Lepisosteus oculatus: one gene and its partners. The protein of the gene in region 2 purifies or fractionates together with the protein of the main gene of each other region. This does not show direct contact. Links are inferred from orthologs where the notes say so. Each region holds a gene or a part of one and is shown on either strand. Other genes may lie near its edges.

Evidence for each region.
Region 1: the proteins of anapc4 (region 2) and nek2 purify together in Homo sapiens (affinity purification with mass spectrometry; 6 studies listed by BioGRID and IntAct, with this or other methods). This does not show direct contact. The link is inferred for Lepisosteus oculatus from reciprocal best matches to the Homo sapiens genes ANAPC4 and NEK2.
Region 3: the proteins of anapc4 (region 2) and anapc15 purify together in Homo sapiens (affinity purification with mass spectrometry; 10 studies listed by BioGRID and IntAct, with this or other methods). This does not show direct contact. The link is inferred for Lepisosteus oculatus from reciprocal best matches to the Homo sapiens genes ANAPC4 and ANAPC15.
Region 4: the proteins of anapc4 (region 2) and anapc1 purify together in Homo sapiens (co-purification; 13 studies listed by BioGRID and IntAct, with this or other methods). This does not show direct contact. The link is inferred for Lepisosteus oculatus from reciprocal best matches to the Homo sapiens genes ANAPC4 and ANAPC1.

Annotation. Positions count from the first base shown.
Region 1 is NC_090697.1:46,236,968-46,244,445, forward strand, and holds the start of nek2 (serine/threonine-protein kinase Nek2), read left to right. Parts: upstream 1-4,462; 5' UTR 4,463-4,710; coding exon 4,711-4,806; intron 4,807-4,817; exon of another isoform or gene 4,818-5,085; coding exon 5,086-5,303; intron 5,304-7,031; coding exon 7,032-7,272; intron 7,273-7,478. UniProt on the Homo sapiens protein: Protein kinase which is involved in the control of centrosome separation and bipolar spindle formation in mitotic cells and chromatin condensation in meiotic cells.
Region 2 is NC_090696.1:77,826,175-77,833,228, forward strand, and holds the start of anapc4 (anaphase-promoting complex subunit 4), read left to right. Parts: upstream 1-4,042; 5' UTR 4,043-4,176; coding exon 4,177-4,177; exon of another isoform or gene 4,178-4,181; intron 4,182-5,147; coding exon 5,148-5,263; intron 5,264-5,920; coding exon 5,921-6,026; intron 6,027-6,537; coding exon 6,538-6,670; intron 6,671-6,989; coding exon 6,990-7,054. Other genes in the region: srd5a3 (polyprenal reductase), read right to left, coding at 36-295, 1,081-1,212, 1,652-1,843, 2,716-2,867, 3,370-3,569. UniProt on the Homo sapiens protein: Component of the anaphase promoting complex/cyclosome (APC/C), a cell cycle-regulated E3 ubiquitin ligase that controls progression through mitosis and the G1 phase of the cell cycle.
Region 3 is NC_090700.1:12,717,194-12,725,047, reverse strand, and holds the start of anapc15 (anaphase-promoting complex subunit 15), read right to left. Parts: upstream 3,023-7,854; 5' UTR 2,622-3,022; intron 1,931-2,621; 5' UTR 1,930-1,930; coding exon 1,810-1,929; intron 1,327-1,809; coding exon 1,267-1,326; intron 404-1,266; coding exon 266-403; intron 1-265. Other genes in the region: folr (folate receptor), read left to right, coding at 6,539-6,552, 7,738-7,854. UniProt on the Homo sapiens protein: Component of the anaphase promoting complex/cyclosome (APC/C), a cell cycle-regulated E3 ubiquitin ligase that controls progression through mitosis and the G1 phase of the cell cycle.
Region 4 is NC_090712.1:2,594,013-2,601,150, forward strand, and holds the start of anapc1 (anaphase-promoting complex subunit 1), read left to right. Parts: upstream 1-4,128; 5' UTR 4,129-4,365; intron 4,366-5,274; 5' UTR 5,275-5,298; coding exon 5,299-5,511; intron 5,512-6,117; coding exon 6,118-6,279; intron 6,280-6,549; coding exon 6,550-6,592; intron 6,593-6,953; coding exon 6,954-7,054; intron 7,055-7,138. UniProt on the Homo sapiens protein: Component of the anaphase promoting complex/cyclosome (APC/C), a cell cycle-regulated E3 ubiquitin ligase that controls progression through mitosis and the G1 phase of the cell cycle.

The DNA of each region.
Region 1 (7,478 bases), on a different chromosome or scaffold from region 2:
AACGTCATAGACACCATTAGCTGAGCAGATCCATAGGGAATCTTCATTTGATGTCAAGTCAGCAAGCCAACTGTCACATAGAGAAATATTTACCAAACATTAAAAAAAATTAAAAAATAGTGCAAGATTTCAAGTCTCGAAGAATGGAGATCTCCAGCATTGCTGTATAGTCAATTTTCATAATATGTTTGTTCTGCCACCTTGTGGTTACAGAAAGAAAGAAAAATCATGAAAATGAAGTCAAATAAAAGGGTCAAGTTGACATAATATTGTATTGTGTGACAGCAAATAAACAACTGTGTGGCCTTTTGTCATTATTTTTTGGTATTTCTTGGTTTCATAAAAAATTGGAACTTCTGCTTCAGAGGTGTCCAAGTACAACACAGATTTCGTGTCTTGAAGCATGTGAGTGAATTACTAAACAATGAAGACAGAAAGTTTTTTTTTCAAGCATATGTTTTAGAAACAACTTACACCAATGAACGTATAATGAGATTTAATACCCACTAAACAGTACAAATCATTTTTTAGCAGCATGGTGCTATAGCAGTACTATATAGACATGGTTGGATCTCAGGTTTGAGTCTGGCCTGGGTGGCTTCTGTGTAGTGTTTGTATGGTTTATTCCTGACTACATTTATTTTTTGACCAAAGGCTCTTATTTTCTCTCACTATCCAAAGAATTAACCTAGACATCAACCTGTCAAGGTTAATTGGCATGTCTAGACTGACCAGTCTGTGCGTCATGCCATAGACTATCTGTGGCCTGTGGTGTTTTATGCCTTGTGCTGCTGGGTTTGGCTCGAGATCCACACAGCTCTGTTTTGCGGTGGCCATGTGGGACCATTACCTTTGCTGACTTTAGTCGAGGCAACCTCTTAAATTGCCAGTACTAACTGACAACATTAATTGATCTGCTTGCTTCTTTAAGTTCCAAAAACCCCTGAATCACAGAAACTGGTATAAGGGTGATAATTAAAAGTCCCAATCACCTTTTAAGGATCTGAGAGAAGTTTTAAAAATACTGCCCGAAAATCCAGCTGAAAACCATCAGCTTGTAATTAAGAACTCTGCTAGAATAACAAACAGCACTTTCTCAAGGCTCAGGTTTGGGAATGACTTCTGTATTCGATGAAGAGCTCATTGTGAGTGGATGGATATATACATTTACAGTGGAACTCTGAGATCATCTCACTCACTTTCCACTTTTTGAATTCCTGTTTAAGCAGCCATGGGCAAAAACCATAGTTCAAGTAGATAGCTGCATCAGCATGCGTAGGCTGCAAAGGAACAAGTAAAGGTTTATTCCAGGCTGAAAAGAGAAGAAAAGAAACACAACATTTTTGCTCTGGAGCCTTCTTCACGTCACCCACAGTTGCTTTGATTATTTGCAAAGAAAAGGTGTTTAACTCGAAAAGATCTGACTGAGCTGGGAGACTGCAAGGTTAAGTCTGTCCCGTTTTAGTGCACCTTACACCCCATGTTAAAAAAAAAGTAAAAAGGAGTCTGGGCTTCAAAATGAACTCCCTTACTGTAATTGTCAATCCTACACAATTCACATTCACAATTCCCAGTTGATCCTTTATGTTATTTACTATTACTGTTAATGCCCCAGCTAAAGTTGTGATAACAATGTTAGCAATGCGTTTTCCTGGTTTTACAATCAAAACTGAGTTTTCAAAGATTGGGAGAGGCAGAGGTGTGGCATATAAAAAAAGAAAACTTTTATCTACAGTCTGCAAAGATATTTGAGATTGTGCTGCACTACACACATCTTTTTTAACACAGGTATGAAGGCAGCCTCTTGTTTGGGGGGTTTCTTTCATTCATATGGGTATTCAGGGCTTTCATGTGCAGATCTGCAGACATGTAGCCTATGCCTAGAAGGGAAAATGAGGCACCATCACATTCATTTTGAGTGTTGTTAGACACACCTATAACTACTGTATGTGAATAAGAGGACTCACCTCTGAAGGATGAACCAATCAGCCTGTTTGGTGTATAAGACGCCCCTCCTAGCTGTCTTGCATTAACAGTGATTTTTACCATTTGTTTCCTGAAACTGATTAAAAGTGGCTACAGTTAACAACAGCAATGTATTTTCATTGGACCAATTTTGATGAAGCCTTGGTCATTAATTTATAAGGAATGATATGCAAGAAAATCACAGCAAAGCAAAGAAAGCAAAAAAAAACATTTTTTTATTTACTTGAAATTAAAAATGAAAACACATTTTTTGCTGAAATGTTGATAATACAAAAGTGTCTCCATTTTAGAACATAAAAGGTTTGGTTTGGCTCATCTAGCCTCTATGTAGTGTGTTTGGTAAGTATGTTCTTTATTTTCTTCTTAGTATATCTAAGATTCTTACTTCAGAGTAAACAATGATGATGTGCATTCTTGAGATAAAATTAAGAGAGGGAAATTATTTCTTTTTCAGTTCAGAACTATCTTAGAATTCCAGTCCATTGTTCATGCAAATTACTCCCAAACAGATTATGCAAAACAATCTCTAATATGAGTCTATTAATACACTAGATTATAATTATCCACCACAGCTAGGGAATGCAATATGACTTTGTTACAGTAGGTGTCAAAATAATTGTTGAGGAAATTATTCTATTAATACAAATACAGTATTACAATAAAACATCTATTTCCATCATGAAAAAAAGATTTATGGTGAGGGGTTATGTGCAAATACCTGTACTAACATGCCAGTGAAAAGGTGATGTTGGAAATTGATGAATATTGCCATTAATATACTTCACAATTTAAAAAAATAAAACATTTACTAATCTGTTCATAGACACCCACATATTTAAATAACATTCATAAATATTTGTATTCAAAACAGCTTTAAAAGGTTAATTCACAAATGAAGATGCTGTAGGGATTAAAGGTATTGTATACTCAGATTGAGAATGGGTTAACAAACAGGAAAGAGGACATCATTGCAAAGAACATAACTTCTGAAAGCTGTGGCCTGCTGTGCTAGACTGCTTAGCCAGAACTGTATCAATGATTGACATTGTGATGTCATCACCTAAATCATTTCTAAGTGAAATTTTAAAATTATACAAAATAGTGGGGAATAGCAGACACAGAAACAGAACCAAGGGAATTAAAAAGAAACTTGCACACAACCATTTGATTAATGTTGATATTTGTAAAGTGATCTATACAGGAAGTAAGGAACATATTCTACGGTATATATCACATGGGTGATTCTAAGCTACAGGCACCTATGCAAGAAAGATGTCTGGGTTTAATATCCTTCATGTCTTCATCTTGACAATGTGGGGAAGCAATAAAAAAGGAAACAGAATGCTTAGGAATATGGCACGTTTAAATCATGGAAAGTCGTGCTTCAGATTTTACAGCACACTAGTAAGATCTTGTTTAGAACATTGTTTCCAGTTTTGGCAACCATATCACAATAAGGACATCACGACAATAAGATTGATTCTTGGCCTGAAATGTCTGTCGTATACAGACAGGTTGAAGGAGATCACAAAAAAGCTACAGAACAAATGTTCTCATCGCTATAGAATAAAAGGGATTAAAAGAAGATTTTAGAAGAGTATTTTAAATCCTCAAGTAGTATAAATAGATTTTCAGCATGGAATAAAACTGTTTTTTTATATTTATTATTTTTTGTTAAAAAGAGGCAGCCTGGGGAACTATTTCTCACTCATCAATGACACAAATACACAAGTTTGCAATTTGGAAAGTAAAAGTGAACTTCGGATAGACAGTAAAGCACATTTACACAAAGAGTTGCGAGTGTCTGGAACAGGCTTCCACCCAGATAGTTGAAGCCTTTTAAATTTTTGATTAACTTTGTTTGCACACTCCCATATAAGCATGATTGCACTAATGCTTTTCACTCGCAACATGTGTAATATTATAATGAATAATAATTCAGTTTACTAGCGCTGCATAAACAAATAACAAATCATATAACTTCACGTACCAAAATACAAACCATTAATTTAAAATGACTATAAATAATTTCAGGATTCTAAAATATTTCAATCACAGACGTAATGCTAATATACTCAGTATTATTTCAAGATAGTTGCATAATGAGCAGCTCAAACTACAACTAGGACAATAGTCTCCTGAAGTTCTTTTAAATTTGTGAACCGATTAATCGTAGCTTATCTTTTCATTGACCTTTTCCAGAATAAAGAAACGCTACACTTAATTTTAGCCAAAAGGCAGAGAAGCGTAACATAAACAATAGTTAATACAAAGACCAGAAATGTTGAAGTACTGTATTATGTTCGGCATAAACTAAAATCTTTTACTTTAAAGATCCCTTTAAATACCCGCTGTTCTCTCGCGGGCTTCTGTTGCATAGCAACGCCTGGTGCAGTGTGGGTTTGTATTGATTTTCTGACCAATAAGATTTTCGCTCCTCCGTGCGGAAAGCCAATCACATCTGAGAAACGAAACCACGCCAATTTTAAAGCTTGAACTTCCTACTCTCCTAGGTGATCGCGTTATTTTGTTTGTCAATAACGAAAGGATAAATGTGAATGTTCTTTTTTTTTTAAAGAAAGTTGTCAAAGAAGGCTGCTAAAACAAATATTTGGCAGTCACCTATCAGTATTTCTTTGAAAGGGGGATTTCCGCTGTTTGAAGAGATTGTCCTTGCAAAAATCTGGATTTAACATTTACTTTCTGTTTTAAGTTCGTTTAAAGATGCCGTCTCGCGTAGAAGATTATGAAGTTTTATACACAATTGGATCTGGATCTTATGGAAAATGTCAGAAAATAAGACGAAAGACAGATGGAAAGGTATACATTACTTCACTGTGTTGTTTGGTTGCATTACATGACCGACTTCATACTCGTTCTTTTGAAATGAAGGATAATGCAAAATACGAACGCTATCTTGGAACGTCTTTTTAAAATACATTAACAATATGCATTTTTGTTCCTCGTCACGCTTTTATGATGTTGTGTGTGATGCAATCATTGTGCATAGAGAAGCGCTTTCATTTTAAGATGACGTTACCGTGCAGTTAAAACATGTATCGTCAGTATTTGTAGTACTTTTATCTGCTGCGCTCCCAGGTACTTGTGTGGAAGGAGCTGGACTATGGCACCATGACTGAAGCCGAAAAGCAGATGCTGGTGTCCGAAGTGAATCTCCTCCGTGAGCTCAAGCACCCCAATATCGTTCGGTACTACGACCGCATCATCGACAGGAGCAACACCACGCTGTATATCGTCATGGAGTACTGTGAGGGGGGGGATCTGTCCAGTCTCATCACCAGGTGTATTAAAGAAAGGTGCGTACGTACACTGTATGAGTGTACCTCCCTTGATTCTCTTTTCTTGGGTGCCTGCCAGTTACCGGTGTTTAAGTAATACTCCGACTTCTAGACTCGAATTACTGGGGAGTATTCGGAAGTAAATGAAATTAAAAGCAGTCCGTCTCTTTAGCCACAAGTTAAGATATTAAGATTTTTTTTTTGCAGAGTCCAGCAATGCTAGGAAGAAGGCAAACGTCAGTGACGGTTATATTCACTCATGGCTGGATCACAATGCAAGGGAGAAATAAGTCATGCAAACAAAAAGCAAACGCTAACAATGCCAAACGGGTCTAATGCCCTGGTCATACATCATACATAGCCTTCCCATTATTTCCTTGGGGTAGGGAACTGCATAATTACTGTACGGCCCCTTTAATTGGTCCAGGCTTAAACAACTAAGAGGTCTCTGGAGCTACACCATTACTGAATAAAACATATGCCTGAGACTTTGCCAAACTAGCCTCTAAACATCTCACTTATTTTCTTTCAGGTTAGTTTGCTTTTATATTCATGGCATGGTAGTGTAGATAAACAAGCATTTGATTTCTCGACACCTTTAATGCCATTTGTTCCTAAGATGGAGTAGGCCATTTGGCCCATCAAGCCCACTTGGTAGCTAGTTATTGATTGCTCTGAGGATCTCATCCAGTTATTTCATGACTGAAGCTAGAGTGTATTTTAACAACTTGGTGGGATAGCCTGTTCCATACTCCCACAGCCTTCTATGTAGAGTAGCTTTTGTTCTTGGAATGAAATGCAGGACGTTTCCAGTTGTGATCTCTTGTTCACTTGACCCCCTATCTTACTTTTGTCTTTTTGACCACTTAGCCCGTTTAGGAGCTGGTCGGTAATTGATCCGGCCGCTTCTTGAAAGAAACCAGGGAATCGACTTCAAAAATGTGGCTGTGGAGCTTGTTGCACACTCCCACACCCTTTTGTTCTTGGCTTTAAATAGTTTCAACAACAAGTTTCCACTTGTCCTCTGGTTTGTGTTTCTGAAGGACTCTGCTGTGTTGATTTTCTCAGTGCCTTTGAGGATTTTGAATTCTTGACCCCCCTGATTAGTCATCTTTGTTCAAGACCAGAAAAGGTTCACCTCGTTTAGCCTGTCAATGAAGGATATAACCTTAAACCGGGACTGCATCAAATTGCTCTTCTCTGGACTGGTTCAGGAGCCGCTTTGCCATGTGCCTTGAATCTGCCAGGTGTTTTTCCCAGTCTGTTCATGCTTTCCTGGCTTTTGTTCTGGTTTTGAATAGATGTGTGGCTGTAATTCAGACTGCTCTTGTTCTGTTCTTTGAGCTATCTAATTTGAATCCTGAGTATTACCGTTGTGCATGAGTTTATTAGTACTCTATAAAATATTCTACACAATTCATTAATAAAGCATTTTGGATGTAACCGTTTTCTAATCATTATTAAGTAGGTAAAACAGATTTGCCATCACTTTGAAGCTGGTGGTGCTGGCTCTGAAAGCTGTTTGAAGACCCGACCTAAATGTCCTTTATGATGCTTTTCTTCTATTGCTGGACATGGGTGTAATAATGGATCTGTTTTCATAAAAGCTGTGGTGTATATGGCTGCTGGCTAGATCTTTTCCACTCTTAGCCAGCTATAGGTAGCCCTTATACTTTGAAGACCAGCATTGCATGAGAGGGTTTTCCATCGAATAAAACTGAGTGCTCCATGTTCCTTCCCTCGCAGGCGATACCTGGATGAGGAGTTCATCTTGCGGGTGCTCACCCAGCTGGCTCTGGCGCTGAAAGAGTGCCACAGAAGAAGTGATGGGGGCCACACGGTGCTACACCGGGACCTCAAGCCAGCCAACATCTTCCTTGATGCTAAGCAGAATGTCAAGCTGGGAGATTTTGGTTTGGCCAGAATATTAAATCATGATACCAGCTTTGCCAAAACCTTCGTGGGAACTCCCTATTACATGTCTCCAGTAAGTTAAAATCTTCTCTTCTAATCGGCCCGCTGGTTAATTATCAGGGATGTAAGAATTAAATATTAGATGGATCCACTCTGAAATAATTTTTTTTTTTTAAATCGGTGTATGGGTTTGTCAGCTTTTCCTGGTGATGTTCATGGCTAAAAAGAAATATCAGAATACAGCATATTTTTCTTAAAACTAAGATCGTTTATTTCTGT
Region 2 (7,054 bases):
TTCCAAGCGGTACTTTCATACACTGCAGCTGAAATCTATAAGACCAAAGGAATGAAGGCTTTGCGGTGTTTTGGATAGGAGTCAAACTTGGCCAGATAGAACTGGTGGCACAGCACAGCCTCCAGCGCCTGGCAGCTGAGCACGTACAGGACCACCAGCCACCAGGTGGGGGCGCCGCCGCCGAGGGCCACGCAGTAGGAGACGTAGATGAGCAGCTCAGCGAAGTAGTGTGGGCAGGAGACGAGCCGGAACCAGTCGCCGTGAGGGACGCAGTGAGCCAGCGTGAGCACCTCCCCTGCCGCAGCCGGAGAGAGACAGCGCGTCGGGGTTAATGATCCGCATCGGGGGTGTGAGCACAAGGCCCAGCGCGACTGACGTCAGCAAGTTTAACAACCGCCTTAAAACTTGTAGGGGAAACTTACAGCAAAACAAACAATAGACATGAACGGAGCCAAACAGAAGTTCAGAACGTACGAGGTCACTGTATTATATTTTCACTCAGCAAAATGGATGATTATTGGACAGACGCTGTATGTACACCTACCACCAAAGTGTGTTTCTGTACGGTCAAGGATGAGGGCCCGGCCATCCATTCAGCCATTTTTTTTATAACCTCTTTCTCCAATACAGGGTGATGGGTGAGCCAGACCTTCCCCAGCAAGCAATGAGCACACCCCGGCCTAAAGAAGTGCCGGTCTAGGTGCTCCTGCATCAGACAAGCACCGTTCCATTGGTTTCAGATCTTCAGTTCCCCTTTTATGAACTGATTCAGGCGCTGGGCTCTAAGCCACATTTTCTTTTGGAGCAGGAAGTTGGGAAGCTTTAAGGCTGTGAAGAACAAATTGTTCATGGGATTGCGCCAGCTTTTCATATCTATCCTTGTCAAGCTAGGAAACGGGGAGTGTAGTCAAAACACTTGGACAACAATCTGAAAAAAAAAATGCGACTTGAAGAAGGATCAAGTGAGATTCTCGGCAGTGTGAATTACAAAGGTGCAGTTTGCCAAATAATTCCCCAGTCAAACCCGAGTGACCTGTCATGAGTGTAGCAACACCTGTGAGACCCCCGTGTAGCTCTCACCTGAGCGACCCTTCCTCAGGTTAGCGAGGATCACGTGACACCTGTGCTGGTGCACAGAGGCCCAGACAAACAAGCCCACCCCCGCAAAGTGGTTCCACCGCACCTGTGCCAGCACTCCACCTTTAACACTACCTGCCAAAACAATAAACAGCTGTTTTTAAATGCCAGAACTTTTTTCTCTTGAAATGTATAACTCTACCATGCTTTTATTTACAACTGGAAAGTTAACAAAGTATACTGCAAAGTATGCATTATGTCAGATTTTGCTTTGTTTCCTTTTTGATACTTGTGTCCTGATGATAGGTAACGAAATATTATTCCATCCTAGGTTGGTATTAGAAAATCCATGTTATTCTCTGACATTGGAGAAACAATCATTCACTGTTGCCTGCATTCAACATGACTGAGGAAAACCATGCAGACCAGTAAAATACACTGCACTTGTGAGGAAGAGGTGTTGTACACAAGGCACAACAGAAACACACAGCTGTAGGAGTTAAATACATATTAAAGACATTCAAAATCAGCAGTAACAGTATTTAATAATTACATGTTCTCAGGCCAGACTGACCTTCGTGTTCAGTGTGAATGTTGGTACAAAGCACTGTTAATCCAAGTAAAATGTAGTAACCAAGCCCAAATCCATACTGCGCTAAGTGTATGACTCCATTGGAGAACACACTGACAAACAAACACTCCAGGAGCCTTCGGAGGGAGTGAGCACACAAGAGCACCTGCACCAGGAGGAGAGAGAACTGCTCACCTGTGAATGGAGAACAAACAGGTGCACTGTAACAAAGCATTGAGATGTTTAACGAGGTTAAATATGAGCCTTTGGCTTCAATCGGACAAACATCCATAAAAATCGCCCAGCAGACAGAAATAAGGTGTTCTCTCTGGAGTGGCTACTGTTACCCTGAGCTCTCCAGGCCTCATAATTTACCCTGTCTGCATGCAGTTGTAATCTACCTTGTGAGAAAATAAAGTGCTAAAAACTAATAAGCTTGTTCTGGCACAGCTAGGTGAACAGCAAATCAATGCAATGGACGTCAGCGCATCACGATTTCCAACTAACTGGTAGAGAGATGGACAGATCCTCACACACTGGGGGTTCCCACCCTGGATCTGGGGAACCTACCCCTGCTAGTTGTCCTTTTAGTTGAGCAGTCAGTCACATAGCCAGATTCCTAAAGGGCCTAATAACAGGCGTGCTGTGAACATTTTAACTGTAGTTCCTCAACATGTTGGTGGCTGCCTTTAAACTGTCGCATTTCTTCTGATATAAATATGAAATAAAGCTGATCGTAATTAACAGCATAATAATTATTATTGCTGTTGGTATTATAAATGTTTGGCATTATTTAATAAGTCCAACATTTGCATTACAAAAGCTCAAATTGAAGTAATTGTTGGCTTCTAATTTAAGTAAAGAGCTGGGCTGGGATATGTTAGTGTTGATCCTTCAATGTTCTTTAGGTTAAGTATCCAGTGCAAGGCTACTTGATCATTTAGCAGAGAACCACCTGCCACTGCCCTTGACGATTCAGGAAACGTGTGTTCTTGTCTTGTGTTACACCTCCCAGCAGAGCAGCAGTGGCCTCATTCCTGCTTTTGATACAGCATGTGGGAACTTACCTGTCCCAGGTGTGGCTGTACCTCCATTGAGGAAACTCAGGGTGCTCTCTAACCAGCCTGGAAACTGCTTACCCAGCAGGGTCTTTTGTAAGCAAATAGTGAGTAATAAGGAATTCCAAATCACAGACACAGCGTAAAAATGGAAAAACCATCTGCAAAACACCCCCCAAACAACAATATTAACAATCTGACACGGTAAATAATAGTAATAATATATACAACAGTTAATATGCAGAATTATAAAGACTGTGTCATTGTCTTAAAGATGGAAACCAAGATAGTCCTGTTCGTATCACACGTGTTCGAGTTACAATACAGTGCAGTTACTTGGTGACTAATACACGCGTTGTATGAAGTAATAAGTTACATACAGCATGCCATTTATTATCCTCGAGAAAATGTAATAAAATATTATTTTCAGAACATCGTGTTTTCCATAAGGCAATTCTAACGTCAATCTAAATTTAATATCAACATAATCCGGCCGTTTCTAATCAGCTTCTGTTTTGAACGCACAGTTGAAACTTTACACACGATGTCTTTTCATTCATCATATGAACATCTTTCTCTAAGGGGGGAACAGCAGTCCACAGCTCTGATTAAAGTTTAATATGATTTATAATTTAAGCCCCGGCAGGGTAAGATGTCTCTGACCTTTTAGGAACATCAAAGTATCGCAGTAGGTCTGACCGCTGTAGGGTGGTCTTGGTTTTTCCGTACCGAATAAAATCCTGGAATAAAACATAAACCCAGGAGCCACCGTATTTATCAGACGAGTGAGCACAAACGTGAATACAAAAAGCAAAGAAAAAACAGAGAGACAGAAGTAACCATATACAATCAATAGGATTCATCCTAAACCACTGAAACCAAAGTTTCTTAGTGTCCGCGGGGGAAACAATTCCGACGTGCAATGCGTGTCTGTGCAGTAGGGGTTCCGCACCGCAAGGGTAAATACTTTTCAACACTTCTATAGCCCTCTGCTGGAGTCTCCACTCAAAGCGCTTCACGGGTAATGGGGATCCCCTCCACCACCACCGGTGTGCAGCCCCACCTGGATGATACGCCAGCAGCCAGGGTGCACCAGTACTCTCCTCACACACCAGCTCTCAGTGGGGAGAGCAGAGTGATGGAGCCAGTGCAGAGATGGGGATAATTAGGAGGCAAGGCCCAGGGATACAACCCCTACTTCTAATGGTATTTGTTTAAATCGGTCCCGTTAAACAATAATAATAAATCTCCAAAGTTCTGCCTGCCGGCTGAATAAGGCGTTTTGTCCCTTCTCGCTTGCCGTCCGCCCTGCGCTGGTGGCGATTGGTCGAGTACTGCTCGCTGGCCCCGCCTCCACTTGGTTGCAAATGGCGCCGCGCATGAACAGGCGCCGGAGGAGGATGTAGTGGGTTTGCCTGTTTCTTGGGAACTGGGCAAACGAGCTTTGTGCTTTGCTCGGGTAAAGAGAGAAGTAGGTATGTGCTGATGTTGTGTTCTATTTTGGAGGAGTTTGTCAAGTTTACTAGCAACCGCAGACTGCAATGCGTGTGCAGTGTTTTCCACAATCTCCAGTGTGCACTGCGAAGAGCGAGGTCATTTTGTGTTAAAATGAAAGCGGAAAAAAATAAAAATCCCAAATCGTATTTATTCTGAGAGATCATCATGCAGTGTTTCAGAAATGTATCGCTGTTAAATGTATCTCTCTTTTTTTTTTGTTCTAAAATTCAAGTGCTCACTACTTACAAGTCTTCTCAGGTTGGAAAATCGATGCCATAGCTGTATTTGAAGACTTACAAATACTGGAACTCCTCTGTCTAGACTAGAAATTCAGACTCATACCCCAGTATAGTGACATGGGAAACTGCTGCAGGAGGTGCTAGTCTTTGGATTAATCATAACTACCCAGTCGTTAAAGATCCCGTGACAATGTGAGAGTAGTCATGTTAACCCTGGTGCCCTAAATAAATTCCACTCCAGTCTTGAAAATTCCATGTTCCCTCAATTCCCCTTTTGATGTGATTGGTGCCGCGGTTTCTCACTCCTCCACCTGTGTGCTCCCTCGAACATGTGAAGCCCTTCAGGATGGGGAGCGCTGTGGGAGTGCAGGGAGTGACACAATAACATTATTGCTATTAAATACTTCTCAAGCTGTGGGAGCTGAGCTCTTTAACCTGCTCACAGGCCCCTGGGAGAAGCGTCTGTGTGTGTTTGTGTGACGGAATGGCGTCCCGTCCCGTGCCCATTACTGGTGGGAGCGTCTCCGGCTCCCCTGTGGCCCTGAATTGGGAGAAACGGTTGGGAAATTGATGGAAGCCGAGTCCAGTGGTCTCCTCCACTGTAAGCACACAGGAAGTGCTTCCTGCTTGTCGCTGTTTCCTGGTCCTCCTGGAAGCCCTTCTCATGTGCTGATCTTTTTCCCGGTTTGTCTGTTTTTTTGTCAGTGCCGAAGATGCCTGCGTTCCGACAAGTGGGGGAGAAGCAGCTGCCGAATGCCGTCCTTTTCATGGTCTGGTCCCCGAAGAGGGACCTGATCGCCCTCGCCAACCGAGCGGGCGAGGTAACAGCCCCAGGGCTTCGGGGCAGCTGGCCGCAGCCGGAGGGGCGCCGGTTACACGCCTGGCAGTCCTTGTGCTGAACTGGCGGATCAGAAGCTGATGCTCCGTGTCTCATGCATGCCTGTGCTGAGAATAAATTCGCTGTTCTGAGTGGCGGGTTTTCCCCGAGCGCGGCTGTCTGTCTGTCCACTGGCCCTGGAGAACATTTCTGTGTTTGAAAGTTAAATCGCCCCCAATGAATTAAAAAAAAAATAACACTCCTAAGAATAGTTCACGGCTCAAAAAAACAGCAGATTTCTGCTTTTGAGATGGTCACCCAGTAAATCGTCTGATCGTCTGTGGCTTTGTCTGCCCTCTGACTGGCATCGAAGCCTCCCTTTGTGTGCGTCTTGCGTCACGGCTGGGGAAGAAGCCTGTCTCTGTCTACTGCGATAGAGGCAGTCCTGCAGCAGACTGTAACTGTTGGGTTGCTGGTTGTAAATGAAGCTGTGTGTAAATTAAGATTTGAGGGTACAGGACAGAAAACAACAACTGGGGAATTCTAATCTCATAAAAGATGACGCGAGGAGTGTAGCTCTCGCTACGTGTATCAGCGACATTTACAAACCTCATTAATTTGTCTTAATTGGTTTCAATGTATTTTTTAATTTATTTTTAAGCTCCTATTACACCGCCTGGCGAACTTTCAGCGGGTGTGGAGTTTACCTCCCAATGAAAACACCGGCAAGAAAATCACGTCGCTCGCATGGAGACCGGATGGCAAAAGTAAGGGCAGGGAGACTTTTTAACAGGAGGGGGTCTGCTGCAGTGTCTGAAGAGCCCCAGCACAGCCTGGAGCCCCAGTTACTTTCTCCTGGGGACTTTATGCCATCTAGATAACATCTACAGCATCTAAGAAAAGTATATTTTACATTATTTGTCATCAAGAAATCGACATGACTTGGATTTCTTTTATTCCCTTTGCCCGTGCACTTCTTCATCAGTTGAGATGAAATTATAGCTTCTGTTGAGGGCATCTGTGTGATATGCATCCAGAAGGGTGGTTGATTATTCAAATTTGCAAAAAGAGCTCTAAAAATGTAGAAAACGATATTGCAATCGGGAGTGTGAAATAGCTAAAATGCAAGAACGTGATTGTGAAATAGACTAATCCAAAACCTGTTGTGCACTTTAATACTAGGAATAATCGCCTGTACTCAGAAGGATGTGGAGTACTTTAAGTGTGGCCTATCTCTTGTAATGCAGTTCATGTTCTCTGTTTTTTTTCCTTCGTTAGTTTTGGCTTTCAGTGTTGGGGATACTAAACAGGTGATTCTTTGCGATGTGGAAAAAGCAGAAATTCTGCACTCTTTCCCTGTGGAGCAGCCAGTGTCGTGTATGCACTGGATGGATGTTTCGGAGGACAACAGGTGTGTTTCCGTTATTGTCACAGGTGGAAAAAAAAATCTGAATTAGAAGAAATGGTCACTATGCGAATTTGCCTAGTCCACACCATTATTTTTTACATCAGATGCGGGCTAGACAGTGCTCACATTAAAAGATTCCTTCATGCTATTAGGCTGGTGTGCAGGTTACCCAGCTGCTTTCTTGCATTGGTAGTGACAAGTAACGTAACTTTTGTGAACATGGAGGTGGAGGTGACCCACGAACGGCCAAAAAGTTTAAATTGAAATGTACGAGCACCTGCTTTGTGGATATGGTAGAATAGCAGATCGCTTTTTATTGCAGTGTTTTCTCATCGTTTTATAATGAAGATGAATCGGATCTTTTCCTGCCAAAGTTACCAGCTCTTC
Region 3 (7,854 bases), on a different chromosome or scaffold from region 2:
GGGCAGAACAAATATAATTATCATTTCTAAATTTAAGAAAAAACAGTTTGAGAGGGAGCTCCCTGGTCATCAACACTGGCAGGAGATCAGCACCCTTTGAAACGATTCAAACAACATTTTTTTTTGGGGGGGGAGTTTTGGCATAGCCTAGGCAGAACTTTATTGCTTTCCCATGAGGACCCCCTCCCAGCATTTTCCAGCCAGGGCACAGAGAATTGTATGGATACTTGGGTCCGGTGTGTGTACATCGAGCCAGGCCTCTCACCTCATTGATCTCTCCGTCATCGGGAGACTCATTATAGTCATTCATCTCATCTATGTCCTGCATGTCCTCATCGTCTTCTGAGTCCTCCTCACTATCTTCCTCATCCTCATCATCCTCCTCATCCTCATCGTCATACGTCTGCAGAAAGAAACCATGCAACAGTGTCATAAAGCCATGCCTATACTTAAATCCGTTCCTCCTACCCATTACCCTCCAGTGGCATATTTATCTGTTTTCCTGCTGCCCGTGGTTGTTTTCATTCCAGTTATCAGATCTACAATATATGGCTACTGTTGTGATGTACAGCTTTTATGGCAGTGACTTCGTTAAGTACATTATTTGACACAGCCTACTGTATTATCATTGTGACAGAATTCACTAATCCTGACCTAATATGACAAATTAAAAACGATATTCATAAACAACTGCAATTCTTCCAACATGATCACTGATTAGAGCAGGCCTATACCAACAGTGTTTTCAGCATCAGAATCACATGCATTTAATCTCAAAATGTCATTAAATGACCTGCTATTTAAATTGGATAAGACAATTCTAAATTTCTGCCAAAATACATGCGATAGATAAAAGCATAAAATGAAGCTTTGATTTTTGAGATGTTAACATATTCCAATAACCGATTCACAAAGTCAAGCAAAAACACAACTATAGTTCAGAATTACTTGTTATATACTAAAACCATCACAGGTATTTTGCTGTTGTTTATCCTTAGTGGTACTTTCAAATGCCTATATGCAACTCCAAAAACATTTTAAGGTGGAAACACTAACATGTTCCCCGGTCTTAAATATGAGGATCAGATTGGCTCAACATCTGACCCTTCATGACATCTAGACTTGTAGAGAGCTCAACAGTTGAAATATTAAGTTTCTTCTTTTTACTTTTAAGTTTGTGATTAACCACATTTTCTCTGCAGCTCATAAACACTGACTCAAACATCTTATTTTCAAGCAAAGTATATTGCGGTACATACATCTTACCTCAGAAACAGGCTTCCCTATTGGCATCAGATTGTTATCTTTTTCAGCAATGCTTTGCAACTGCAGGAAGATACAATTTAATTAGAATTACACAGCAAAATATTTAAAAAAACCTCAAAAATCTTAAACTCGAATAAAGAAAACATATGCATCCCACCTAGAAAATAAAACCCATAACACATTATTTTGCAAATCACCTTGTTTGCTGGAGAGGATGGCAACTAACGTAATACGATAATATAATACAGTTAAAGGTTGAAACATTTTCATAACATTCAATGCAGGTGTAGGAACAAACAATTCAACAGAATTGACTAACAATAAAAGCGTACAAAAACCTTGCAATTGTCCAAAGGTTAACTTAACTTTATTGCCGTGTTTGTCTTTTGTTATATATAATGCATCCCCCCCCAGAGTGTACGACGTTGTGACTTTATATTTGTTATAAAAGTTTTAAAAGATGTTAAAAGACATGCCACGACAATAAAATGAAAAAGATGGGAGGAAATCAAGCTGTGTTTGTTCCTGTCGTCCTCTACACACCCAGGTCTGGTGTTGCTGCTCTTGTTGTTGAAGCTCATTTTCATCCACACAAGGTCGGTCCAGGTTAAACCATAGTGACTCGGTCATCCGGGGGAAAAGGGAAGGGAACAGCGTGGACATCCTACAGGAGTCAGTGAGAGTTTAAATCCTCTATTAAGAAAGAAAACACTAGTTCTCCTTCGTGATACCTTCATCGTGGGGTTTATTTTAAATGGACAATTAGCGATGATGCCCTTAAATATTCTTTAAAAATAATATTACACGTATATCCTTTAATTAGAAAGACAAAGACATATTCAGTACTGTTCTAGCATTTATAAACATAAACCATAATTCTAAATGCGTTTACTGTCATTAGTTATGTGGATAAACATCTTTACTATCGTCAGTTAGTATGATCCATCTTCATAAAACCTCAACAACACGAACATCACCTGCTGGTCTTAAATGCAGAAAGGACCACCAGAAATACAACAAAATACTCTGGAATATCAAAGCATTTTTACTTTGGCCTTGGTATGCATTTACGGCTGTGATCTTAACTGAATCACAACGTTTTCAGATTGCTCTTTAAACGTCCAAATGATTTACACAATTTCGAAACAACGCTAAGTCACAGATGTAATTACTCTCGTGGATGGATCAAATAGGAAAATAATTGGGAAACTTCCATACAGCACTGTCGCCAGCATTTTCTTTAAAAAACATTGGCTTAGTTTTAGAACAAACATCCGTAATTAATTTTACACTTTCCTTATCGGTGACATCAAAAACGGTTTATTTTAACTCTTTGTTAAGATGTAGAACCTTACCTCGGGAACAAATCAAGACGTTAGGATTTTTAAATTCGAACAAGAACTACAAGAGAACCGGAAATAGGTGTTCACGTTATGAACGTCCTCTCTCTCCGAGCTACTGTCGTAATAGTTCCATGTGACGCCTGCGTTCTCCAAAAATAAATTACTTTCACGTAATGTTGATTTGTTGATTAATGGACACATTGTCACAACACTGTGAAATAACATTTTTATAACCAAATTCAATGTAAAATGAATGCAAAACACAGCTCATAAAAAGTTTACTTAAATTACAGCAGTCAAGTAAAACGACTGTAAAGCCCTGTTCTATACAAATCGACGTAGACGTATGCTTCATAAGTCTATTTGATTGACTACGTTTGCCGTCAGATGTTATAATTCTGGTTAAGCCATGTCCTCAGTGTTATGCTGTATATTTCTGGTGTTACAGCTGAAGTGTAATGGTGACTCAGAGGATAGAGCCATTGGGTTTTCCTGTCGGGACTGTAATCTGATTGGCTACTCTACTGTTGTTATTTTAAAAAAAAACAGATGCCTCTCTCTATTCCGACTAAGCATTTAAGGGCTTGAGTGGTCCACATGTTATAGGACCGAAGGTGTTAAAAATTGGAAGCCAGTAGAATCTGTGTGGCATATTTTTTATAAAAAGGCAGATCTAATTTTATCGGATAAAATGCCCTATAAGCAGATACACAGTGACACTATTTGATACTGCAAAGCAGAGCTGAGAACTGTTTCTGTATTTTTTTCTGCTTCAAAGTATAAATCGCGCTGCGCTCTGCATATCCCTTAAATCTGACATCACGTCTTTTTTTGCTAAGTGCAATTGTTATAGCAGATATTTCTTTTTGATATGGAGTTTATTTCACACTTATGTCATAAAGTGTCCTTGTGAGAACCATAAAAATTTATCACATTCATGGCAATGTAACATGAAAGTCATTTGATAAAAGATGAGTGTGTCAACATAATGACAAAGGGAAGAATTTAAGCCTGTCTCCTCTCTTCTGACTTGAAAACAGCTACAGATGTGAAGTAAATACAGGGAAATTGCATGTTGTATTTCTTGTCACCCCCTGCTATACCAAAAAATTGAAATAATGTAGAGAAAAGTCTGAAGAGGACTGTGGGTTTGCAATGTTTACCAGAGAAAATAGTTGTTGTTTTTTTATCTCAGCTTTACTCAACACAGGACATTTTGCAAAGTCAATGAACAGAAATGAGCATTGGACATGAAGAATAACACACTTAAAACACGTTCTGTTGAACAATGGTGACTCAGTCAATTCCAGCACAGGGTAACACACCTGCATATCACCAAATATCACCAAAAATATCACCTGCAGCTCACAACTGCCAACCCACTGAAGCTAAGCAGGTGTGAGCCTGGTCAGTACCTGCTTCGGAGACCTCCTGGGAAAAACTAAGGTTGCTCCTGGAAGGTGCTCACCCTGTGGTCTGTGTGGGTCCTAGTTCCCCAGTATAATGATGGGGACACCATACTATTTTGTATAAAGGCACTGTCTTTTGGATGAGATGTAAGACTGAGGAACTGACTCTCAGTGGTATTTAAAAATCCCAAGGATTTTGTAGCCTTGGTCACTTGGCCAAATCGCCCCCTAGCCTTTACCAATCCTAATAACCCCCATCTATGAACTGGCTTCATTACTTTGTTCTCCTTCCCACTGATAGCTGGTGTGTGGTGGGTGTACTGATGCAAACAGTGGTTTAATAGAAGTGTACAGAACAGTGATATATAAGTGTAAGGAATTAAATTAGTGTGAAGTGGGACATGTATATATATTATCCAGCATCACAGTATCACCACTTAAGCACATTGTGAGAGGTGTTGATGGGGTCCGTTAATTTAGCCTCAAACAAAGGTTACACTAAGATGCCATAAAGCTGACTTGCTTTAGCAGCCCCAGTGGCTTAACGCTACATAATAAAAGACAGGAACAACACCCACAAACAGGACAAAGCAGACCAATGTCTGCTGCATATCAAAGGACAGAACCTAGAGCAAGACAGAGTAGAACAAGAGGTAATTACAAATCAAAGAACAGGACAAGCACTCAGATTGTGAAACAAACTTTCTTCTGACTGTATATGAGAGCTGGGATACCCTTGCAGTTTGTCTGTTCTGTGGGGCCGACCCGGCGCGCGTTGTTGGACTTATTGAGCTCAATAAAACTGAATCTGCACAAGACTGTGTCTTGCTCCTCTGATGAAGAATTCCCGCAACAAGAAATTAAAAGAATCATACATATAACACGGATTTACACACCAGAAGAGATCTGCAATGTTGAGAACAAACCAAAACCAAAATTCACCTTAAAAAGGTTTTTATGTTCACCTTAAGCCATGATTTCCCTTTCAGGAATATTGAAGATTAGCAAAATTGCCAACTAATTTACTCAAGGCACAGATAAGCTGTGAGACTTCAATTAAATAAGAATGGTGCAGAGAACTCTTGAATCATTTCATGTAGACCTAAGAATCCTGGGCCTTCAGTTCAAGTATTTTAAATCCTTGTGTTTTTATTTCAGAAGACAAACATTACAGAGGCAGACTCCAACTCCAATGTTACAATACGTTAAAATCCGAGTTAATACCCTCACCAAATAATTTGCTCACATTTTTTTAATTATGCGGTGAGATAATCACTTCTCACTTCACACTGATTTACCACTTCTCTCTGTCTGCTGACGAACACCCATAGCACAGCCTGAGCAGCTTCCCTAAATTTGCGCTTCTACATTTACCAGAAGAAAGTCTGATGTCTCTCGACTGAGGTAACTTCTTTTCAGCTGTAAAAGCAGCCTTATTCAACAGTACAATTTAAGAAGGGTTTGAGCACACAATAAAAATAATTTTGTCAACTACACAGATTAAATAAGCGCAAGTAAAAGTAATATATTAAAATATACAGAAAATGTAATGGATGAATCTTGTATATAAACTCTTCGACTTCAGAATGGTTACTGAGTTAATTGCTGCATTTAGTTATTTTTAGCTTTTTCTTACAACTAATGAGTAATCCATTGCCCTGCCTGGGTCACACTGTCTTGTTTATGTAATTGGCCATTCCTTTTTTATAATTAACCAAAGTACCAGCTGCCTTTAGATTTATGCATTGCAACGTTTAAAGTTTTTTGTTTAAGAAACTCAGTCCTCTGTTGTATGTCTCCTTCCACTGTAGGTTAGAACTTTTTTTTAATAAAAATATTAAACGTTGAGGGAGTTTTACTCACGGAGCAGTTGTTCATTCACTTCTGGGGAACGCTCTTTTTGTGATTAATGTTAGTAGAAATTTGTAGGAGTTTCATTTCTCTTTTATTAATTTTTTGACATTTTTCTACATTCACAAAACGTTGCATTATTCATCTCAAATGTCTTGTTTGTGAAAATAAATACTTTGTTCTTGTGCTTTTCAAAAAAATGTTTTCAAGAGCGAGTCTGATGTTTCATCAAAATCTTATTCTCAAGGCAAGTTTTATTTTGTTTTAGCCAAAGGAGGTGGAAGAATACTTTGTTGAATGAGAAAGCAGCCTGGAATCTCATTGTGAGCACACGGCTTCAAGGTAAAACTTTCACTCTGTGGAGAAGAGACCTTGCATACTTTTTCTAGTAAATTCTCAGACTTTGTCCTGTGATTGTGCAAAGTAATCATAAACTGTTATCTTCGCATTCCTAAATAGTACTAATGGAAATCAGGAACACAGACTTTCTCTCTGTTATTGCACCGTTTAGGGACTGTCCTCTACTGTCTGAAGCCAATCAGAAACCTTCCATTTGAGTTAAGCTATAGCCTGAGAACAGATATAAATTGTCCGTGGTGTGTAAAGTTTATTTAATCCAGAACATCAGAGGAGAGTGAAGCTTCGAAGGCGGTTCAGTTTTAATCCAGGATGTACTTAAGAAGGTCTTGATCATTTTATTTTCCTTATTTTTTTAAATAACATGTCAGTCTTTACTCTCACCAGGCCAAGTAGACTGAAAACAGAGAGTTAGTCTTTATTGTCTTATGACTTCATGGGGTTTTGTACTTTTCATATTTCATATGTATTCCATATGTAGCATTTCAATGCTTATATAGAACAGCACAGTATGGTATTTGAGATAATTATTAGGTTTTATTTGGTAATTATATTATTTCAGAAGCCAAAATTCAGACTGCAAAACGTGAAATAGAGTGTTACTGTTCTGAGCATATATGTAAAGTTTCCATAAATGTTACATATAAAAACTATATATAAAACATTTAATTTTTTGGAAATACGTTTGAAACTTGTGATCATGACTTAAAGGTACCTCACTGCAACTTTATCACAGTAGTTTTAATGGCATACTTGATTGCCTTACATTGAAAAGTCCCAGCCTCCCAACCAGACTTAAAAGTGAAGAGAGTTTAAACTAATCATCCATGTATTATTCATAATCTAAATAAGGAGTGTTGTGCCAAAGTGTTAAAATTATTTTGTTCATGTATTAGTTTATGAAATTAAATGTAAATATCTTATTGTACTGTATGCTATCTTATACTGTAGATTTCACATTATTCTCAAAGAATTCCAGAACTATATTTCTCAGATATACTGCAGTCTGGTATCACAATATTTACAGGGTGATTTTCAATGTTTGAGTTCCAGTATTTAATTTGTAACCTTTTTTTCTAATTCTGAAAGTTTTAAATTAGGAATTTCACATGGGAAAATGTGAAAATACGAAACAAAATTCACATACTGTAAATGCTTGCTTTCATTTATCTGTAGTGTAGTTTTGAAAAAAACAATTGGAATTTTGTCACTGTTAGGAAAGTGCTGTCGCTTTTGTACAGGAGTAAAAGTGTTTTAAGATTCGGCAGTGCAGAGAAGTCATGGATTCAAAATCTGAGTGAAGTACTGCTGTTGTCTTGTTCATATCACTTAAGAAAAATGCCAAGATATAGATGTCACTTTGGACAGCATCAGCCCACTTTGCTTAGCTGGGTGTGAGTTACTTTCTGTTGCCTGAAATTATAAATGAGAGAAGCTGGAGGAAAATCTTAGTTAAGTTTCATGGAGAACTTTTTCCTCCAAACATAATTTATCAGTTTTTTTTCCTTTAGAGAAATGCTGGGTGTGACCTTGCTGTTGGCCCTGGTTTCTGTGGCGGTGTCTGAGGATATTTTAAACAAGTGCATGGATGGCAAACATCATAAAAAAACTCCTGGAGCTGAGGGCAA
Region 4 (7,138 bases), on a different chromosome or scaffold from region 2:
AGGTTACGGAAAGCATTTAGACATGGGCGATCACGTTCCAGGTTTTTTTTTTTATTTCAGATGACATTTTCTTGCCCTGTTGCCGTTTTCTTCTCGGCCTCTTGTTGGGTTTGGCTACGATTATCTGACAGAGGCATTTATTATTGGGCTTCCTATAACCAGCTGGAAAGCCTTAACGCAAATGCTGCATGTTCCGTACGGCTTGGTGTAATTAATCGGCAAGAACTGTATATAGACTGTATACATGATTCCACCTCAATCTGTCATGTGCTTACCTCTTTCAGTTTTGAATGCGCTATTTTTTTCTATATCCTGAAACCTAATTAACAGATTTCGTGCAGCCGGGTAACAGTATCAAATCATTATTGTCGGTTAAGAACGGAGTCGCTGGCGTGATGAATATCATCTTATTTGACGTTAATGAGACATCTTAATTTTCACATGTCACTGATATTTTCCGTTGCTTTTGACTGACCATATTGGAAGAAGACTGTGCGCTGGGTTAACTAAACTTTAATTCACTTTGTGTCCTTCTCTAAAACCAACGTCTCAAGAGCGGAGGAGAGTGGCGGTCTGTGTGACTCTGGATTCAGAGAATCATTTTTCATGTCCGTTGCTAAAGGCCATCAGTAATGAAGTCAGATAAAGAAGAGAAGTTCTGAATTTCCAATCGACGACACAGCCCAGCAAAAAGGAAACGAGCATTTTATATAATATAACCAGTGCAAATTTAGAACTAGAACAATGTAGTCCTTTAACATACCGGTATGCTTGCTTTCACACTTAATTATTCTAGACCAAGGGATTATACATTAACGATGCGTGCAAAATGTAGAATTAGTGATAGCTTACCCCTCGCCTTCCGTTTCAGTATTTTGCATTTGCAAAATTTGTATGTACAACGGTACCTATTATTTTTTCTCGGAGGTATTCCATGTATGGCTCCTTCATCCAACGTTTCACAAAACGTGCGTAGTTTTTTTTACCTGATTTATCTTAACAACATACTTTCACCAGCGTGTAAAGAACCGTTCTGTTGATTCCTGGGACTTTTTCTTAAGGTTAGACTTCACAGAACTAACTCGCGTTAGTGCAAAAAACACTCCTCATTTTCCTTTCCAAACTGAGTCTACCACTTAAATTCCCTCAAGCATGTTTCGGCTATTTTTGAGCGAAAAACAAAATATTTCAGCATTTTACAATTAGCTTTGTGAGCCCCCTTGCTTGCAGCAAAATAAGAGAAAGTGTAAAACTTTAGTGTAGTGAAAACTAGAAACATTTTCGATTCCTCAAAGTCTTAATTTTTGAATAAATTGTAATGCTTTTAGATATTACATATTTACATATTTAGCACACAAATCTGTTCATTATTTGAACATGGGGGAGACATTTATTATTGTCATATCACTGTTAGGGTTGTAAATATTAAAAAGTGCTTCCAAACTTATTTCTTGTCTTTCCTGAAATGCACTTGATCTGACTGCCAAAATTTAAAAACAAGAGAACTATCGTCCTCAATCTATATGTTTGTTTTGGCTGACTTCAATTACGTTGGGCAGTGTAGCATAGTGGGTCTTTGGACCCCTGACTGCCAGGTTGTGGTATCGAGTCCTGGTGCTGGTGTACCTTGAATGAGGCACCGTACCCCAGTTGTTCCTGGCCACCCAGCTGTTCGGGGGAGACCAACATTGCTAAGGAGAGGTCCCTGCAGTGGACTGGTGTTTGTCACCTGCTCTCAGTCATCGATGAGCTCTGGGACCAATGAGCTGCTGTGTCTGAGGTTCAGACATCACAGCCCCTCTCCCCCACACCACCATGACATTAGCAAGGCTTGGCGGTGAGAGCAGGGAGGTTGCTGGTTTAGACTCTCAACCAGAGCTGTAGACGACCCATTATCAGATTTAATATGTGTCTGACTCACCACAGTTCATCCAACACGGTCGTGACAGTGATGACTTGTTTAATGAGCTCTGGAAAACAGGGACCAGATTTTCCCTCATGTCAGCAGTGTCAGAACCCTGCAGTGGTGGGACCTTTTGGTGAGTTAAAACAAACAGCGTGGGATAGGAAACACATAAATTGACTCATTACCTTTGTAATTCAGGATAATTATTTTCCTTAAACAGTGGTGGTATGGCATTACAAATACAGTTGCTATTAGTTGATACAGGCCAATATAAAACTTTTCACTCATGCTAATTTTAACAGTGTCTGCCATTCCTGACTGAAAGTTCTGGTTCTAACTGCAAGGCAATCCAGACCAGAACCAGTATTCTTCTTCCACCCTAATCATGGGGTCTTCCTCCAGCTTTCCGACCCTAAAGTGACATTCGCCTTCCTCCCTAGATGGCAGCAAGGAGCTGAGAAACACGTCAAATGTCAAGATGCTTTATTATTGCACATACGTCTTTTAATGAACACATTATTGCTCATTATTCCACATACGTCTTTTAAATGCAACGACATTTGGGTTGCTATAGAGTAAATTCTGCAATCTTTACACAGCAACTTGAAATTGTTCTCTTGTGATGAATATTCCAAGTCTACGTAGAGAGATTCAAAGGTAACAATTAGATGATTCATCTTTATTACAACATACAAACACAAAAATCTTAAACAAGGTACAAACACATTCTGTACAGGGGAGGGTGAAGATCCATTTGGTGTGCATAAATACCCCTTTTCTTTTTAAACGTTTCACGGCAATAAAACATGACAATATTCCACTTACTAAATTGTTCAAAACACATGTCTTTACAGATTGATTCTTTTTAAGGGTGACAAAGAACAGGAATGTTTAATCCTGGTCATGAAGGTCCATATTGATTTTTTGTTCCAACCAAGCTCTCAGTTACACAATTGATATCATAATGGCATTCATTTGAGCTATTTGACTGGTTTCAGACTGGTTCCAACATGATATGCTTCTGCATATCATGTTGGAACTGCTTTTTAACTATTCATATGTAGAATATGGATTCATATGAATCCATACTATTCATATGGATTTCATATGTAGCAGTACTAATTGATTGCATGAGTATAACACATGGCTATGGTCCAATCGAGCAATTTGTTAGTTCAACATAGTCTTCAGTTAAGTAATTAAGCTTGGCAGGGACCAGCAGGAGAGTGTGCCTTCAGGATAGGGCTTAAGACCTTCCCTCTCTCTCCCTCCTCTTTCAAGGACTGAAGCAGGGTTGTCCTCAATAGCACTGATGACTTTAAATTCTCATGTGCAACAGTGTGCTCATGTGGATTAGCTTGGCAATTCTATCCATCTAGCAACTGCATACTGCATGTGGTACGTTATATAATTACTTCATGCGTTTTAAGCTTGCATTCCGTCTTATCGAAAACAAGGTTTTCCATCTCTACTGTGTCAGTGCCTTGATTCATTGATACATAAACAAGTCTTGCAAGAAAATAATTATCTAGTCTATTGTTGGCAAAGAAATAAATATGGCCAATTAAAATTTGTATTAGGAAGCGATACAGTAATTACTACAAGTACAACAATGCAGATAAACTGTATTTGTACTACATGTATGTGCTTTTGAATCTAACAACCCTAATAATAAGTTTACCATGGCAATGTCTGCCAAAGTTGCTTTAGACAAAAACATGTGACACATTATTTAACTGAAAAGTGAGTGAATGCTGAGGATGTGAATAATACTGAGGCAAATAATAGTTCATATACTAAGGAACACTTTCCACTTCCGAACTAGCTGTAAGTTAAATCACTAGTTTATCACTGTATTTGCTCTGACAATCCTCACAGGACATTTATTGACCAGTAAGTTGCGCTTTGTTTAATTGGGAAGTCATTGTCGAGAAGGGATATTTCGAATGATGTTGATGCTTTCTCACGAGATCGATATCCCTTATTGCATGGTTTGTAAAGCTGTGGTGTTTTTGGATTCCACAGTTAAGCGGGTTTCTTATGAAAGTCTCTAGAAACGCCGCAAAACTATGAAATATTGCAAGCAAAGTCAAACATATATCATCTCCAATTACGCTTCTCAGACAGACAAACCCATCCCTGCATGAAATTACTTCCCTGTGTTGTCTACATACTGTAGGAGGAATATTCGGCTCGGCTGACGCCCGTCCGCGCTGTTGATTTTTCTGTGCCTTCTGATTGGTCAGAGCGATATGGCGGAGGCTCACGGGATATCAAGATGGCCGCGTCCATTTGAATCCCTGTGTTGTTATTCTTAGTTTTTTACGTCTGGTCTTTTTTCCCCACGGAATTCAGTGTTTGTTTTGTTTCAGTTTGTCAAAAACTGTCATCCTCTTATATTGAACGTAAATACATCAAGGGACTCCGAGATCCGGCGGTAGACGATTCGTTACTAACAGGTTTGTCCGTATCCCTTGTTTATTTCCTGGCACAGTTTAATAGCTATCCAACGTTCAGCTGTTTCCGAGAATGACGTTTTGCCCTCAACATTAAGGCAAAGTGCGTGCTTTTCTTGTTTTGCTTAAACTAGTCTTGCTTAATTAACACTGCTTAGATTGTGAATCTAGATGAAATGTTGACTAGTAACGTGCTACGACATGCCCACGTGTTCCCGTGTTCTAAAATATTGCTGCTGTCACTTATCCGTAGCCCTCGTTTATTATCTTTCTTCCACTATCTGGCTCCTAAAATATGTAGTCTGGGAAGTTGCTGGAATAGTAGGATGGAACAACACATGCATCCAGCCGCTGTTACTGCGGGTCACTTCTACATCACTGCGCTGACCATGTTGTTGTTGATATCATTGTTTATGCCTTTCACAATTTTGAGCAGTGCGCTATACTCAGAGTGCTTCACTCTTTTTTAATTAAGAAATCGGACAACAAACTCCTAGAAATCGCTCGTTTGCTTTAACCAAATGTAGAAAGCATTGATTGTTTTTCTGGAAAGCTCTTCCAAGATAGACATGACCTCAGTAAGTTCATCCCTACCCCAGGTTCTCTCTGACGGAAAGGAGGAGTTGCTTTTTCTTGTCAGCTGTTTAAAGTGCAGAGTGTTTTCTCACTTTGTAAAACCTAACTCTTAAACAGAACAGTATGGGCCACAAACATGAACAAACACCTACAAATAAAACGCTATAAGCAAATTACATCTTTTGTCAGATTATGTTGTTTTTGCTTTCTGCTCATTTTCCAGTTCCTGCAGCTTTTTTGGGGTAATTTTCTTTCAGATATGTTTTATATCCTGGGGGGTGGGGGAAACGGCTGGCTTTTATCCAGATCATGTTTACCTGTTGGCTTCCCCTGCAGAAATAATGCTGATATCTGGAACTCATGTCGAACGTCTATGAAGAGAGAGCCACAATGATAGCCGCAGGTGAATTGCAGGAGTTTGTTCCGTTCGGTCGCGAGCACTGTAAGAATCACCCCAACGCCGTGAACCTGCAGCTGCGACAGCTTCAGCCGGCCTCCGAGCTGTGGTGCTCCGATGGGGCAGCCGGGCTGGTGGGGTCTCTTCGGGAGGTAACGCTGCAGGAAAAGGAGAGGGTAATGTCTCGAATTTCCTTTTACTCGCCCCCTTTCGGATTTATTTCTGTCCTGCTGCATTTTGTGTGTTCTCTCATTTTCAACTCTTTTTTTTCCCCCACTCCCTGATTCTGTTCCCCACATTGCTTTGCTGGAAGTTTATTTCCAGGTATCCCCTGTCGATTTCAGGTGATGCATGTGGGTGTTTCTCTAACATTGTCGTGAAAAGCCATTTTGGTCAGGTTCTTACTTTTGGCTTGATAACGAGCATTTAATTGTGGCAGCTTGTGCTGCGTCATGGCATGTTAACTGTAACACTTGATTTATTCAGATGGATACAATATGCTTTATTGATAACATAAACATCCCAGGACAAAAGACTCTAATTGAGCTACATTATATCAATAATCAGTATCACTAATACTAGTAAGATGGTGTGGAGGAAGAGATGCCTGTTAAAATTAAACTTGCAAACTTTCATGGCTCAAATACAGCTGTGGTGGATTTAGTCAAAGTTTTCATCGTTATGGGTGTATTTTGTGAAATTGTTGGCGGTTCCTGGAATGCCAGTCATCATCATACCTGTGAAGAATGGGCTATGGATCATTCCCTTTCTGTTGTGCTCAGGAGAGCTGGCAGCTGAGGAAGGGAGCTGGTGGAGAGGTCCATGGGGTGGAGTTTGAAGAGGAGCTGTATGCGGCTGGGAACATGGTGATATGGAGCCGGGGGAGCAAGAATCAGGCTTCGTATGTATACAAGGCTTTCACCGTGGACAGTCCTGTCCTACAGGTACACATGACAAAGGAAATCCACTCCCTCCTATTGTTCTTAAGCCTCTACTTTACTCCCGTGGGTAAAGAAAATCAAATACATCATTCAGCCCCAGAATAGAGTTTTTCTCCTGTTTTTCGTGCAGTCTCATTAAGTCATTATTTTCAAACTGCTCTCGGTGATCCTTTTGTGACATGGCTAAAGCTCTTTGAACTGGTTATGAAAGTGTATTATGTTTGTGCTTATCGAGGTACATGGAATTTGAAATTGTTTAATGGTTTATTTCAGGCCTTGTGGTGTAATTTTGGTGTACCCGAGGAAGATAGAGAAGGTAATTTTGCTTTTTTTTTTCATTTATAGTTTAGACATTAAAACCCTGGGTCTTTACGTCGGTGTATCAGCTTTCATTGTGTTTGTTGGTTGTAAACATGCAGCACAGTATCAGGCTTCAGATATGACTGCGGATTAATATCCCAGATGAGCAGATGAAATCCTTTGTTTAATTATAAGGGTATGACATGTATGAAATATTAATCTGTGTCATCCAGGCATCTAGGCTTATGCAGCTCAGCCTATTGAAAAGGTTGCCTTTTGTGGCAGCCGAAAAGATTTGGTAGGTGCAATGAAGAATCGGACAAAATCGCACTCCTGGCCAAGAGACTAGATGATGCATAAATAAATTTTGCTTTCAGAACAAGAAGTCGTGGAGCAAACTGTTTGCGTTGTTCAGAGGACGTGTGTGAATGTTCACAGTATTACTGGGAAAGACTTCATCTCCCCTTTGCCCTTCCAGGTGAGTCACAGTTCTTTGGCAAAAGGATATCTGTTTTTTACATTTTTTATAGATTTCTTCTGATCTGTGCTTAGAGCAACAGGT